Caenorhabditis elegans: one gene and its partner. The protein of the gene in region 1 interacts with the protein of each later gene in a biochemical or structural test. Each region holds a gene or a part of one and is shown on either strand. Other genes may lie near its edges.

What was found.
Region 2: of the proteins of shw-3 (region 1) and acp-2, one has a biochemical effect on the other in vitro, tested with the Caenorhabditis elegans proteins (one study listed by BioGRID).

The regions. Positions count from the first base shown.
Region 1 is NC_003283.11:12,973,692-12,983,703, forward strand, and holds the start of shw-3 (BTB domain-containing protein), read right to left. Parts: upstream 6,919-10,012; coding exon 6,866-6,918; intron 2,651-6,865; coding exon 2,552-2,650; intron 2,500-2,551; coding exon 2,395-2,499; intron 2,349-2,394; coding exon 2,288-2,348; intron 2,242-2,287; coding exon 2,113-2,241; intron 2,042-2,112; exon of another isoform or gene 1,892-2,041; intron 1,580-1,891; coding exon 1,259-1,579; intron 1,210-1,258; coding exon 805-1,209; intron 619-804; exon of another isoform or gene 469-618; intron 157-468; coding exon 40-156; intron 1-39.
Region 2 is NC_003280.10:8,428,395-8,433,662, forward strand, and holds acp-2 (ACid Phosphatase family), read right to left. Parts: upstream 3,537-5,268; 5' UTR 3,520-3,536; coding exon 3,430-3,519; intron 3,386-3,429; coding exon 3,293-3,385; intron 3,246-3,292; coding exon 3,153-3,245; intron 3,107-3,152; coding exon 2,981-3,106; intron 2,928-2,980; coding exon 2,841-2,927; intron 2,753-2,840; coding exon 2,654-2,752; intron 2,601-2,653; coding exon 2,346-2,600; intron 2,092-2,345; coding exon 1,858-2,091; intron 1,807-1,857; coding exon 1,657-1,806; 3' UTR 1,565-1,656; downstream 1-1,564. Other genes in the region: F14E5.2 (Golgi apparatus protein 1 homolog), read right to left, coding at 1-214, 261-349, 396-444; acp-4 (ACid Phosphatase family), read right to left, coding at 4,596-4,631, 4,924-4,984, 5,100-5,260.

The DNA.
Region 1 (10,012 bases):
ACTGGCAACATTAATTTGAATAATAAATGGAAAACATACTGGAACTGGCAAAGCGATTGTCAATACACCAGCGAGAGCACAAATCGAACCAATCAGGCGGCCCAGATATGTATGAGGTGTTATGTCACCATAGCCAATTGTTGTCATTGTGACGATCTGGAAATTGGAATTTTGTTCTGATGTTTCATTTTTACAAGGAAAGGTTTCATTTTACTTTCAGAATTTGTAACAAGAAATATTACGAGAATGTAAAATTCAGAGAATGCGTATTGCACAACATATTTGACGCGAAAAATATCTCGCAGCGAAAACTACAGTAAATCTTTAAATGTCTACTGTAACATGTTATTATAACACTGATGTCAATTTACAGGCTGCACTTTCGAAACGAATTTCTTTTCTAATTGTGACAACGATATTTAATTTTCCTCCTATTTTTCGTTGTTTTTTTACAATGTTTCATCAGAAAAAAAAAGTGAAAAACAATGCGACAGTAGTCATTTAAAGAACTACTGTAGTTTTCGGTGCGAGATATTCTGCGCGTCAAATATGTTGCGCAATACGCATCCTCAAAACGTAGTGTTCCCGTAATACGTTATTTCCAGACATTTAATTGTTTTTTAAAGAATGTTTAGAAGTGGGCACGCAGTACAGAAATTTTTTGGAAACTATAAAAAATAGTTTTGAAAAATTGAATCATTCATCCAACTCAAAAAATAAAAAAAAGGAGAAAGGTACTTTCAAAATATTGAGTTCAAAATTTAAAGGGCTTAACGTGAGTATAAATAGACATTCTCAACTTACCGCCCACCACAATCCAATCGGAATTGACACAAATTGATTATCTTCATTACTTTCCACCCGTTCTGCATAATACACCAGTGATGCAAATACAACAACTCCCAATACCAAAAAGAATACAAGTAGCATCAATTCCTTTGCTGATGCTCGGAAGGTGTGCATCAAAATCTTGAGTCCCGAATTATGATGAGTCAATTTGAAAAGTCTCATAATACGAATGATGGAGAAGAACTCAAGATCTGCAGTTGCTCCAAACATGCTTGATAATAAATCAATGTAGAATGTCAAAGTGGCAACAATGTCGATAATGTTCACAGGTGCACGAAGATATTCAAAACGAGATGGACATGAAGAGAATCTTGCCAGAATTTCAATCGTGAACCAAATGTTACATATTGTTTCTATGTACTGAAAAGTATAAGGAATATTAAATATTCAATCTTTCTGTATACTGTACCATAAAAGTTGGATGAGGCCTAGAATTGGCCTTATCAATGTTTATCTGTGCAGGATGTATTCGTGAAGATGTACTCCGATGATTCCGCGAAAAGTTTCCAAATGGAGCTAATTCAGGGATCCTCAAACCAGGATGGGTTTTCAGACAGAAAACAATGATGGCTGTTATCAGAAAAAATACAGAAATAGCTGCTATAAATTGTGCTGATCTAGATGAATTTGGTTCATCGAAAAGCCTCCAAATCCGAGGTTTGATCTTCTGCCAGGCACTGAGACTATCATTATGATAGTCATCCTCCCAACCAAATCGTTTGTACAGTTCCTGAAAATTTCGAGTTTTAATTTTGCCAATCGTGACTTTTTTAGACCAAGCCTATTGTCAAATTGGTAAAAAATAGAATTTTTCTGACTATCTGAGAGATATCTGGCACCAATATTTACTTCTATAATAGTTACTTTAAAATCTGAAGTATAGCGAGTTTGAAACCTCGAAAAATTTGAAGTATTCCTATTATAGTGTTTTTTTTTTGAAATTTTGAAGCTTCATTTTAAACTTTAAAATGAAGCTTCAAAATTTCAAAAAAAACTATAATAGGAACACTTCAAATTTAAAACTGTGCCTTTAAAATTTAAAGGCACGGTTTTTTTCTCGGTGGGTCTCGCCACGATCTCATTCGATTACTTTTTACTCCACAATGTGCAGACATAGCAACCAAATTCACGTTGTACTTAGTATGCCGGTTTTTTTTTGATTAGGAGTCGCAAAAACTTTTATATTGCTTTGTAAAATGAATCATAATGGATAAAAAATGTTCTAAAATTCTGCATTTTTCTCTTGTTATACAAAAAGCTTACAGGTCCTTCTGTTTGATCAACTTCAATATCCAACTCGTCTAATGTTTTGAGCACATCTTGTGTATCTCTTGTACCAGATAATGTCATCCAACAGCATGGTTCGCATTCATTTGAATCAAGTCCCCAATACTAAAAAATAATGTATTTTCTTATCTTTTAACAATTATCTTCTTACCTTTAACTCCTCTTCAAATAATGGTCCACACACGTCAAGAGGATAATGCAATTTGCCCGTTCTTAAACTCAAAAAAATTATCGAAAATGCGATTTGTGCCTTGTTACCTATAATAATTTAGTATTTGCGCAAAAACTCCGGGATGTCTATCGAAAAAATACTCGTTTAAAACTGGATCATAATTGGCCAAATTTGTAGTCAACCGGGATAGTCTGAATAAAAAAAATCATGCTAGAAAGAAATATGGAATAATTGTTACTTTACCGTGTAGCTGGAATTTTCTTAAGCGTATGCTTATAGGTTTCGTGTCGAACACCACCCACGTTGAGTATGATCCGGTATTCACTGTCCATGACAGTCTGTCTGTAATTATTAGAAAATTGTTTCTGTAAGCAAATGAAAAAAAAACAACGTTAACTGACTAGTGAGCAATGTATAATTGATGTTTTTTTGGATTTCAAAAACCAAGTTTTTCAGTCAGGCCTACTAGTTAACTTTTAAGCCTTTCACTAGACGTAATTCAGTATGTTGTATATCCTTCGAAGGACGCTTAATCTCAGCTAAATATACAGAAAGTGATATCAAACTTAGAAAGCTGTTGTTGAGAAAGCAAGACGTACATAAAAATGCACATAAGCCCGAACATAATGACGGAAAACATATCACTTTGGAGTCGACTACGGTAGGAGGAGGGGGATGTTCACAAAAGTTATCCGTAATGCATCTAAATCGTAAATTTGTAAGTTTGTTTCTGGTGGCTCAAGAGATCTGGCACAAAAGCAGCATCTGGAGCGTGATGAATTGTTGTGTTGAGACCGGATAATAACAATCATAAAAGCGTGCCACCAGAGCAGAGAATGAAGGGCCAGAGGAGCAGTCTTATTTTTTGCCGCAGCCGACGCCACACAACCAACACCACCCCAGTTGGAGCCATATCTCCTATGTCTCTCCCGTCCCACCCTTCTTGCTTCCATTGTTCCCGCTCTTGTATGTTTGTGGTCCCTTCCGCTTCCTCATTAAAATTTGATCACATACGCCAAAATGAGAGACAAGACGAAAGGAGAGGCGTCGTGAGATGTATAGTTACAGATAGTTGTTAAGATTGGGAGGCTCGGTACTCGTGAAAAAGTTCCGAAAATTTTGAATTGATATGGGTAAAATAAGTTTTCTGCATTTTTCTAGTATCACTACAAAGGTTTTGAGGAAATTCTTCTAGGTAAATCCACAAAACTGCTAATTTCAGTGTGCATATCATTTTAGAGCAAAAATTTATTTTTAAATGTAGAAAAACATCTATTCGATTTGAAAAAAAAGAAGTTTGAAGTTAACCTATAATATCAAAAATATCCACAGTTAGTTTAGAAAGTAAGTTGTACGGATACTTATTGCGAGGCAGATTCCCAAGTTTACAATTTCAACAATAAACTTTCGACAATAAAACAAAAATAAATTTATTTTAGTTCTTTTGGAGGTCACGTTTTAAAAACAATTTTTTTTAAACCTACAGATTTATTTTAATAAAAATGCTCTATTAGAAAACGATTCAAATTTAAGAAAATGATTTTCATGGATAAATATTTGTTTACATTATACTCTTATAAACTCACATAACAACTCAAAACATATTTTTTGGTCGATCTTGATTATGAACATTTTTTGAGTAAGCTATTTTTCTTCGGATAATGTATAATTTTATAATTTCCTACGTCACTATTTCTATAGATTTTTGAATATGACTCCATGTGGTTCTTTGTATTTTTTCGCTCTGATCAGCTATATTTATTAAATTCTATTTTTTATTACAAAATACACCGTAAAATTGTATCAACCAGATAGAGGTGTTCAATGTTTTTGCCGGATTGTTTTTCACATTCCAAAAATACAATTAACTTCCGAAATCAGAAAACTACAATTGTACGCCTTTTGGTCTGGAAACGATTGCATTATCATTACTAAACATTTTGGCAAGAAAAAACGAAACGTTGAACTTATAAACCCCACACCCAAATACCACAAAGAAAGTCCAAATAGTCTCAAAACACGAAAAGCAAGTACCTATTGAAATTTTGATTCAAAGCAAGCAAAGCGAGAGGGAAATGTGACCGAAAATATTTCAAATCCACATTTTTCCCCAGCAACAGCCAGCTAATTCACTTTTTGTTGACTTTTCTAGCAAAAGAACTCGGTCACCTAGAAACAGTTGGACAGAAAAAGCGAACATCAACAAATTATTTTTTTGAATTGTCAAAAGTGTTGCGATGGCGGTGAAAATAGACATTCCAACAAGTGGATGATGAGCCGATCCTCTGCAGAGCAAAAAGAGAGATGAGACGAAATAAAGAGAGATTATCGTTCACGGGTAATTTGATATGTTTTGTCACATACTCTAGATTGCAGGACAACGAAATAGAGAGTAGGAAGAGGACTTCGAGAAAGGAGGAAAAAGAACAAGAAGTAGTAGTAGAAGAAGAAGGTGGTACATGGATCATGATGAGACACACAGGACACGGACAGAGAAGACTCGGCTTAATGTACGTAATTATCGATGGTGCCAACTGAAGAAAAAGGAAAAGAGTTACTTCTTGTTAGACAATTAGATGCTTGAGTTATCTTGAAAAATTTTTTGTTCATTTATATATTTTTTAGATTTCGTATCGTTTCAGGCTATTTTGATTATAATCAGTTATTCCTAATGTAAGAAAATACTCCGTTTTTTTTTGAAATTTAGCTGTGTAGCTGTTCTTCGATTTGTTTTACTCTAATTTTGGAAGAACTGGCAACTTTTTCCAACAATGCGGTTTTTTTTGAGTGATTTTAAGAATTGCTGCAGGTTTGAATGTTCTAGAATGTTCAAATACAAAAATTGAAACGCATTTAAAATTTTGAAACCAATTTTGAGTTATCTCCACTTTTTGACTGAGATTTATAACAATTTAACAAAATTTTTGCAAAATTGATTTGCAAAGTTTGAATTTTTAGGACTATACGAGCGGTTTCAAATCATTTCCCTACTCTCAATACTCCATCTTCAAATAAGAAGTTCAGATTAAAATTATATTTCTGTCCAAAGAAGTGCCTTTCTAGATTTAGTTCCAATTTTCGAGAATATTTGTGACTTGGGGTAAACAAATGATTTTTGTTGAGCAAGATTGTAACTGGTGCTGTGGCTCATATGGAGATATCATCAGAAAATACAATTTGGGTGGCCGCATTGGAGTGTGAAAAAAGGAAAAAGAGAGGAAGAGAAATAGAGAGACAGAGAGGGAGAGAATAGTGGAAAAACCGAATCATGAAGAATTTGTATGAAAAGTGAGAAGGTCAGCAGCAAATTGAGAATCTGACACTACTAGATTAGACGAAAAAGCAAAACATAGGAAATAACGTGCAGTAAGAACGAAAATTAGAATCTGAAGAAGCATTTTTTATAAGAACCTAATAGTAAGATTTTCAAGATCTCGAAGATTTTCAAGCGATACTTCCGGGCGAAAAAAGAAAATACTTGTGAGCAAATATTTATATTCATGGCTACATTTAGAATCTCTCCTAGATTCACCTCCACCCTCACTAGTCTTCCATCCCATTAATTGCTGCTCATCAAAGGACACGGAAATGTACTTTGTCACTTCTCTTTTGGAAGGTGTCGACTGAAAAAAAAAGAATGCGCATGACGAGAGTGCGGGAAAGAAAGAATAAAGGAAATGAAGGAGATGTGGGCCACCGAGGAAAGGAAGCAGTTGGTGCAAAAATGAGTGGACACACCGGATTATTACCCTTTTATTATTATTGTTATTCCAGATATTTTTGAAGAAAATGGTTTATTACTTTTGTCAGGGTAGAAGCTAAGAAAAATAAGATTTACGCGAGCAAGTTGTTAGAAAGCATCGGGGTTAAAAATCCAGCTGTAAAAAATGTTTTGAAGTTTAGATTTTAAATAGTCCAAGTTTAAGAGGTTCTTATAAAACTTTTAGAAAAATAACTGTAATTTATAACACCTTGTAAAACTATGTACCGTGTTTTCTATATTAGTATTGCAGCCCTAGGAGCAAATCGAAAGTTAGTGTTGCGCCCTCTAATACACTGACTTGTTGTAAGATCAGCCGTATTTTGCAGAAATCTTGGTAAAATTTATGAGTTTTCAGATAACGATAAACCGGTTCAGATAACTCATCGTGGGAAATAATGGTTAAAAAAATCCAAAGTATTATTTACAGTGACACATTATAATAAAAAATTATGAATTTTAAAATTGTTAAGCAAAATTCACTCAACTAGCTCACAACACTACAAACACAATTACGAACACGGCATGCAAGTTTTTAAGCCGAAAATCTAGAGTTCACAATTTTTGAATGCTGTCGCCCATTTTAGACTCACAATGATTGGCAAAAAAAGGACAATGAGCTTTGTAACCTGCCCTTTTCTCAATTTAATTTTTATTCTCTCATCTTCTTTTTTTGCAGAGAGAGAGAGAGCATCAGTATATCTAATTCATTTTCACTTTTTTTCCACTGCTCCCATTCATTTTGCAAATTGCTTTTTCATTTTTTGTTGAAATTTCTTCCTGTTTGAAACACTTACCCAAATGCGGTCGACGGACTTGTTCCATTATTGTTCCGTCGTCGAATTGACATTGACGGGGGGACGATCCAAAAATACTAAATCAAGAAGAAATGAAAAAGAGCAGAAATTGAAACGAAGAATATTTCGATCAAGAATGAAAAATTGAAGTTGTGAGACATGAAAATCAACGAAAAAACTAGGAAAAGGTGTCCTGGCAACAATTCGGAAAGAGGCCTCCGGCGACGGCAATAAATGAGAAAGCAACAAACAAGGCTTTTCAAAAAAAGTTTCTTTCTTGTGTCACCCCATTTTCTGACAAAATAACTGGGAGATTTTTTTTTAAAGGAAATGCAAAATGCAAAATATTTGTTCAAAGTTGAATCTGTCATTCGGCATTTTGCAAAATGTGTTCAAGCTATAATTTTTGTAAAATGGAAAAATTGAACGTCTGAGTTTCGATAATTGTTTTAGTGGTCAGATGCTGTTTCACAGGATATCAATTTCAGTGTCTCAGAACACTTTTGCTATTAAAAGTTGATATATTTTGAGGAAAATTCCCGGAAACGGGGGAAATGTTTTACCAGGCAAGTTTTAGGTTTATTGAAAAAGCAAGTTAGAATTTTAACCTACAGAGAACAATTTTTTAGTAACATCTTCACTTCTAATTTTATAATCTTTTACCGTATATCTTCTATTAGTTTGGCCTCCCTATTAGACTGGCACTCCCTATTAGTATTGCCCTTCAAAGACCTTCCGAAAATTAGTATTGCATTCCCTATTAGTGTTGCACTCCCTAATAGTCTTGCACCTACTTTTTTTTGGTGCAAACCCTCCTTACTAATTTTAAGATTTTAATAACATTTTTTGAATATTTTGCAACAATTTATAAGAAAATTTTTATGAGATTGAAGTTATTGTACCTTTTTGTTGCAATTTCAATCAAATTTTCTATATTTCCAAATTAAAGTTGGAGTTTTTTCAAGTAAATACTAGTAAGCCCCAACACAGAAAAATGTTCTGAAAAATAGTATTTCACTCCCTATTAGTCTTGCACTCCCTAATAGTATTGCAAGCGGGAAGACCTTCGAAAAATAGTATTGCAGCCATATTAATAGAAGAAATACGGTAAATTTTTAAACTTTGGAAACGAACGAGAAAACGTCGAAACTTTTAGCTTGAGGTTATCATTTTCAGTCGAGGTTTTGAAGAATACTAATTTTTTGTTAAATTTATTTCTATAGACAAAAATAATAAAAAAATATTGCTTAATTTCCCAAAACGAAAGTTCAATTTAATGCAAAATCAAAAACAAGCTTGAACATAGCGATACATTTTAATAATCAGCTAATAAAATTTTTATTTTGGAAGTGACTGCGAATAACAAAAGTGCAAGAGAGTGTTGAATATGTATATATCATATTAATTTGTCAACTAGTCTCAAAAAATATCTTATTATCAAAATTATGACGTTTTTATGACAGCAAAGTACGTGGGAAACTTTAAAACTAGAAAGCAAGCACCTAAAAATATATGTGAATTAAAATGAACAGTGATCTTAAAGCGGAAAAAGAGAAAACCGAGAACTGAGATATATCTAATGAATCGAGTAAAATGTATAATTTGGGTGGGTTTCAGTTGACAAATTCTTAGATGAGAAGGATGTATCAGTGCTTTCACCAAAAAAAGAATGAAAGAAGAGGAGGAGCAAGCGGTGGAGATATGTGTGCGAATGTGAATGTGAATAAATTTGATTAATTGGCACGAGAAAGTCAGCTATTCGGTCGCCATCGTCGCAAGCACTTCAGATCAAAACGGACACGGAGAAGAGCTGGAAGTGACAAGCACTTTTGGAAATGTACTTTTCTGTTTCTTTACTTTTATTTTCTTCATTGAGAGTTTCGAAAAGCTGGAGACATAGAAAACAGTAAATTGATTGATATACAGGTATGCAATTGTTTTACAGGATTCGTCTTTATTTATAGTTGATTGTTAGTTGGCAAATGATTAGTTCAAGAAAGTTAACAATTTTTGTTTCTGAAATTATTTTATAGCATCAGCTTAAAGTTCAACTTATCACTCAACAATTTCATAGACCTACTGGAATCTGAAAAACGTTTTTTAATTACCAAAGTGGTATACACTAAAACTGTAATTTTTTGAAATTTTCAAAAATAATTTCGACAAAAAGATTTGTAAACTAAACTTCAAAAATGATCGTCAAATTTATTTTCATTTTTTTCGGGATGTTTTGAGTGGCATTTAGAAAATGACGCTGAAGCAAAATATTTGACAAATTTCGAAAATAATCCATGTTTTTTTTTCCAGAGAAACTAAACTGCATAAAAGCTTTACTATGAAAAATATAGGCAGTTATATAATTTAGACTTCTCAATATGATTTAAAGTGAGAAACTACATTCTGAAATTTGGAATTTTTGGAAATATAGAAATGAACAGGTATTATTTAAAAAACTAAGCTTTTTCAAAAAAATTTGTGTTACTTTTTCGTGAAATTTAGTTTGCAACACAAGTTAGTTTAATTTTGCAAAAAAAAAAGAAAAAAGAAAGCAAATTTTTTGTTTGAAGTGAGATGAGGAAAAGAAGCATGTAGAAATTAATTTCAAATATTGCTCTTGTCCGCCTTTGGCCTCTAATTTTCAACGCCAGACTATATTTTCAGTATTTTTTTTCCTTGAGCCGTTCTTTTTTCAGAGGTTCCCCATACTGACCCGAATACTAATCTTGTTTTTTTTCATTCTTTTTTCCAGCACTTTTCAGCTGTTTGGATATGATGAAAATTTGATGGTGATGAAGCAAAAACAGAAGAAACAGGAAAACGAGTTTTCTAAAAATCTCGTAGGGAAATAATTTGATAAAAGAAAGTTATACAACTGACAAAGGGAAAAACAAAAGAGAAATATATATATAAATGAGGTTATAGAGTTATCTCACGAGGTTCAATTAGCATACTGATTGCTTTTGGCAACATACAAATGCGTGAGAAGTATGAACAAAAACAAGTAAGAGAATAGGAAAACATCAAGAAATATAAACAAAAGAACGGGTCAATCAACTTGATGATTACTTGTGTGCAGTAGAGGTGAAATCCGATATTTTCAGACAACGGTGCGAGAACGTTTTTCAGTGAAAACTACAAAAATTTGTC
Region 2 (5,268 bases), on another chromosome or scaffold:
TTTGAGATGTACAAAGATTCATTGCAGCATTTCCCTTCAACTCTTCCTCGCAATATTGTTTGGCCGCGGATACGAAACGCTCGTCTTGTGTTATTTTGACCTTGAAATCCCAGACAAGTTGCTCACACTGTTCGGATAGAGTCGCTGTCTCAGAAAATCCGGCATCTTGAAGGCATTCAAGAATCGACATGTCGCTTGTTAGATCTACATCAGGCTGAAATATTTTATTTGCCTATCAATAGCTTTAATGTCAAACTCACTCGGCTACAATGTTTATGAATATCTGCTTTGCATGCATCGAAACTGGCCAACTTCTTATCTGGATCGTTCGCTACGTTTTGTTGTTGAGCTGAAATTTGAATTTATTTTGAATCAATTGAATATTCCTGACATACCTGTTGTCAGCCAACAAACCGACGCGAGTATCAGTGGAAACCTCCACATATTTCAGGTTCAGGACCCTGAAAATAAATTTTCAACGTGTGCAAATAGAAAAACATTCTGAAAGTGACGTCATTTGAGAAAAATGTCGAATTTTAATTGAAACGACAACAATTAGGTATATAAAAATGTGGTGAAAAGTGGACAAGTGTGCACACAGAAACCCTCTTTTTTGTCGGAAAATATAGAAGATAGAGAAAAAGACTTGAAAAAATAGAAAACGGATCCTGGAAAACAAATAGAAATCCGTTGGAACCTGGGCACGGAAACTTGCGGACCAGTGGTGTTTGCACACAATGCGCACTAAACAACGCGCAAACTATTGTCAGAAAACCTGACACGTCATCTTATTTAATGAAAATACTATGCCTCTGTAATTAAATATTATTTTTTGAGAATTCAACTAACTTTGCCTGAACTTGAAAACTGAGAACAAAAAAATTTCGTAATTTTTGCGTCAAAACTACAGTACCCGGTCTCGGCACGACAGTTTTTGTTAAATGCAAAAGGGCATGCCCCTTTAAACAGTACTGTAGTTTCGAATGTGTGTTTTTGCGGACTTTTATTGATTGATTTGAATACCGTATTCTTAGCACAAAATTTCGCATTTGGGGAATAATAATTAAACTTTTCAAAATAAATAATGTCCATTTTTGATGCTAATTCTCACAAATTTAGGTAGGAAAAAATACGCTAGAAAAACTAATGATTTGCCGAGAAATTACAACCGGGCCACGTGGCTATATTGTTAAAAACAAAACGCCCTCCGTCCACCCGAAACAATATTTTTGAGATAATATTATCGAACAGAACAGGCCGATCGGTAAACTAGGCATAAAAGGAGAGAGGACGAGAAATAGAAGAGAACAATGCGCTCAGGAAGGTGAAGAGACTTGTTTTGTCTTCTGCAGTCCGACAGAGAAAACTTACGGCATCAAGAGAAGGAGGATCTCGACGAATAGACCGATGCCCATTCGTCGTATAGTCGGTTAAGTGGAGATGACGAATTAATCGGACGAAAAAAAAAACGAAGAGAAACTTTTTTGGTTGTTAGGCTACGGAAGTTCAATATGCAAAGCTAGGTCCTTTTTCCATCGAAACCACAATTTATACTTGAGTATTTCACGCGGAACCTTCATTTAAATGGAATATAAATATCAATCGATTCACTTCATTCGCATGTATTTACAGAAAGAAACAGTATCAACTAATTGATTATTCTGGACCAGAGAATTCCGATACATGAAGATCTCTTCTAATATTATTAGGTGGAGAGCTTCTCGTGGTTCGAATCTTTAAATCAGATGCTTCACAACTCTCAGCTTCACCTTTGTTTCGATAATCATCGCAGCAGTCGAGGAAATCCTGAAATACATTTTTAATGTATGAATGAGAAAACAAAAGTTCAAAACAAACCTGTGCCAAACATCGTTCTCTTTTACAGTTTCTCACAAATTTGGTGACATCTATTAGCTCATGATCCTCGGCAGTGATCTCTTCTTTTTTATAGAAAACTTTCACAAAATATTTTCCATTATCCTTCCACGTTTCAAATATGATCATTGAGTTGTATTCGGGATATTTGTCGAGTCCAACAGTTTGTTCCAACACATTCAATGAATCGAGCACTCCCATTAGAATCCAGTCTTGCTGAAATATTTTATTATTAGGATTAATCAGCAAATACTGATTTTGAACTTGGAAATAACTCTAGAAACTCGAAAAAAGAGACACCAATGGTGTTTTAGATTAACCATATCATCCAAAAACCGAAAAGACATCCGAAAATATAATTCGATACAGAACGCGAAGAGGGCTAGTAAGGAGGCGAGTGACAAACGCCCTCGCCACGCCTCGACCTTATCGACATATCTGAGCCATGTTGTGTATATGATATAACATACCGTAGAGTACACTGCCAACTTCTCCCTTCTGGATACTCTTCCATCACTCTTGTGTTTCTCTTCTTTATCCATGTATATCTTATTTTTAATGTCCGTTAGCAACGTGTTCATAAGATTTCCAAATTTGACCTTCATCATTCGCGGGTCATGATGATTACCAGTTCCTGTGATAAACTGGGTCACATTCACATAAATACCCATGATTTCGTTTATATGTTGAGCGATGAGTGGTGGAAGAGGAATTCCATTTTTGTACTGAAAAAATAAATAAATGAACAGCTTAGACGCTGAATGAGTTTAAAATAAACCTCATTGATATGAGCTTCAATGGTGTGAAAAGGGTATTGCTTGAAAACTGGGTGAGTATATTTAAGACAGTTGGCAATGAATTCCTCGTAAATCGTCCACTGAAGAATAATCATTTTTGAAATGTTTGACTTTTAATAAAACTTTATTCAAATCCAATACCAATCTGAAAAGCTCTATATATCTTACCGGATGAAAACTTCCACCAAAATCTGGGCATTTCTCTTTGATCAGCTCTAACTCTCGGGGACAGTTAGCTTGGTCGTAGTTTAGTAGCTGAAATAAAAGGATAGATTAATCAGTTATTTTTATTTTCAATTTCTAAATACATTTTCTCCGATCTCCTCTGTAAGAACAGGAACATATAAATGCCTAGATGGATCTTCGAACATAGCCGCACCAACGGTTGACGCTGAGCTTAGACATCGATTTTTGTTTACGGATCTCCAATACATCTGAAATTTTGAAAAATATAATAAAATTTCTGAAAAATAACGATACCTGACGTGGCTTCAAATTTCCATCAACAAATTTCGAGTCTACATATCGAGTTTTTAAGAATCGTCCCAATCGAAATGAATTTTCGAAGCCTCTCTGAAATTACTATTTTCAAACTTAAATTAATAAAATAACAGTCTTACATCAGTCAATTCTCCTAGACCTCTTGGAAAGTTTGCAAGATAAGCAGGATCGCTGAGACTATTTGATGGGGCACGGGCTCCATGACGAAATAGCTAAGAATATTTATGTATGTAAAAGACGGATGACATTATCTTACCACTTGTGTGTAAATCCGTTTGGGGTTTTCAGAAAGTGCGATGGCGAATTGAACAATCAAACAAATGAACAAAAACCATGAAATCTTCATCTTTTGATTTCTCACTTCTGTAATATTAGAGATATAAAATAAAAATACATGAAAATTGTTTACCAACAAGCTTGAAGTTGAAAAATTACAAGAAATTGAAACATGAGATTGAAAAGCTGTGTTTCACGAGTAAAAAAAAACAAATAAATCAAATAAATCACCTTTCTGAAGCACGCGGAGGTCGCAGAGGTGGAAGTTTTTCTTAGATTTTCCAGTTTATTTATTTATTTAATAATAATTTCTCATAAAAGTACTTTCATGCAAGTGCCTGCCTGCCTTGCTTACGTGGCTTCTGCCAAAAGTACTCAGAAACAACTTCAACTTTGAACGGACTAAATAAATGAAAAACCAAAGTATCCAAAAAATCAGAATTAGAAGAAGATGAAGATATAGTGCAGAGATATCCAGGAACAAGAAAATTGCTGGTTATCTACCCTTATCTTTCATTTTCTTGCTACTATCTTATCTTTTGTTATAATTCCTACTGCACAAAGAATAAATAAAAAGTTCAACGTTCTGTTGAGAACATGCTAAGGATGTGTAAATGTTCAAGAATATCTTATATGAAGGTTGTATATGGGATATTCAAATCCAAAATGAAATGCCAACTGACCAAAATAAGGAATATGATTAAAAATGATTTCAAGAAAGCGCTGAGTCAATTCTGAAGAAACAATACATATTTTATTCCTTTTGTCAGCCAAAACGTATCATTCTCTTTTTTTCGAACAATTTGTTTAAAATGCATGAGTTTGCAAAGGCGCCAGTAAGTTTTGAAAATAGAGAAGACGAATTACAAATTAAAATATTATTTATAAAAAGTTCAACAATTATTTTCAAGTTCTTCCAGTGTTGCTCGGGTATTATCACAGCATTTATTCAAATTCTGAAAGATAAAATATCCTAAAAGTAATTTTTATGATTAGAACCCACCCTCAGAGAACATTTTTTCCCTGGGCATCCTGGAATGATACCAGTCAAATCTTGTAGAATATGGTCTTCCAGAGTAACCTCTTCCGGTTTATAGTAAAACTTCACGAATGGCTTTTCATTCTCACTCCATAGCTCCATTAGAATCATTGCATTGTAGTTTGGTTCTTCTTTAGGACCAACTGTTTGGATATGATTTAACCAGCCGTGGACCGCACCTACGGCGCGGCCCCCGACTTTTTTGAGAAAACACATTAGATAAACGGTGTCTATCGCGGACCTCGATCGATGTCTGCTGCGCATTTAGCATAAGGTTTCCCAAAATTTCGTTGCTCTGATCAGAGATCAAACTACATAGGGACAGAAGGACACGCGCTTTATATATAGTAAATGATACACCGAAAGCATCTAAAACACCTCCCAGCACCCAATCTTGCTGAAACGACAGATTTTTGGAAGAACAAGCTAACTCACAGTTGAATAAACTTTGAATTTTAAACTTTCTTTATTCGCAAGATTGTTTGTCCAAGCAGTTCTGAAATTAAATGAAATACGAATGATCTCTTGGTATCTAAAAAAATTTCGGAACGAGGAAACTCACACATCCGCCCTCCCGGCCGGATTCCCCGAAAATTCCTCTAAAAACTAACTTTAAATTCTCCAACAGTGTATCAATAAGCACGCCGAACCGAAACTTAATAATTACTGGTTTCCCAATGCCGTTTTTTAAATTTCGATATTTCATATATTCTTCAGATATGACTTCGATGTTTTCACAAATGAAATCCGGCACGGGAACATTGTTCTTATACTGAAAAA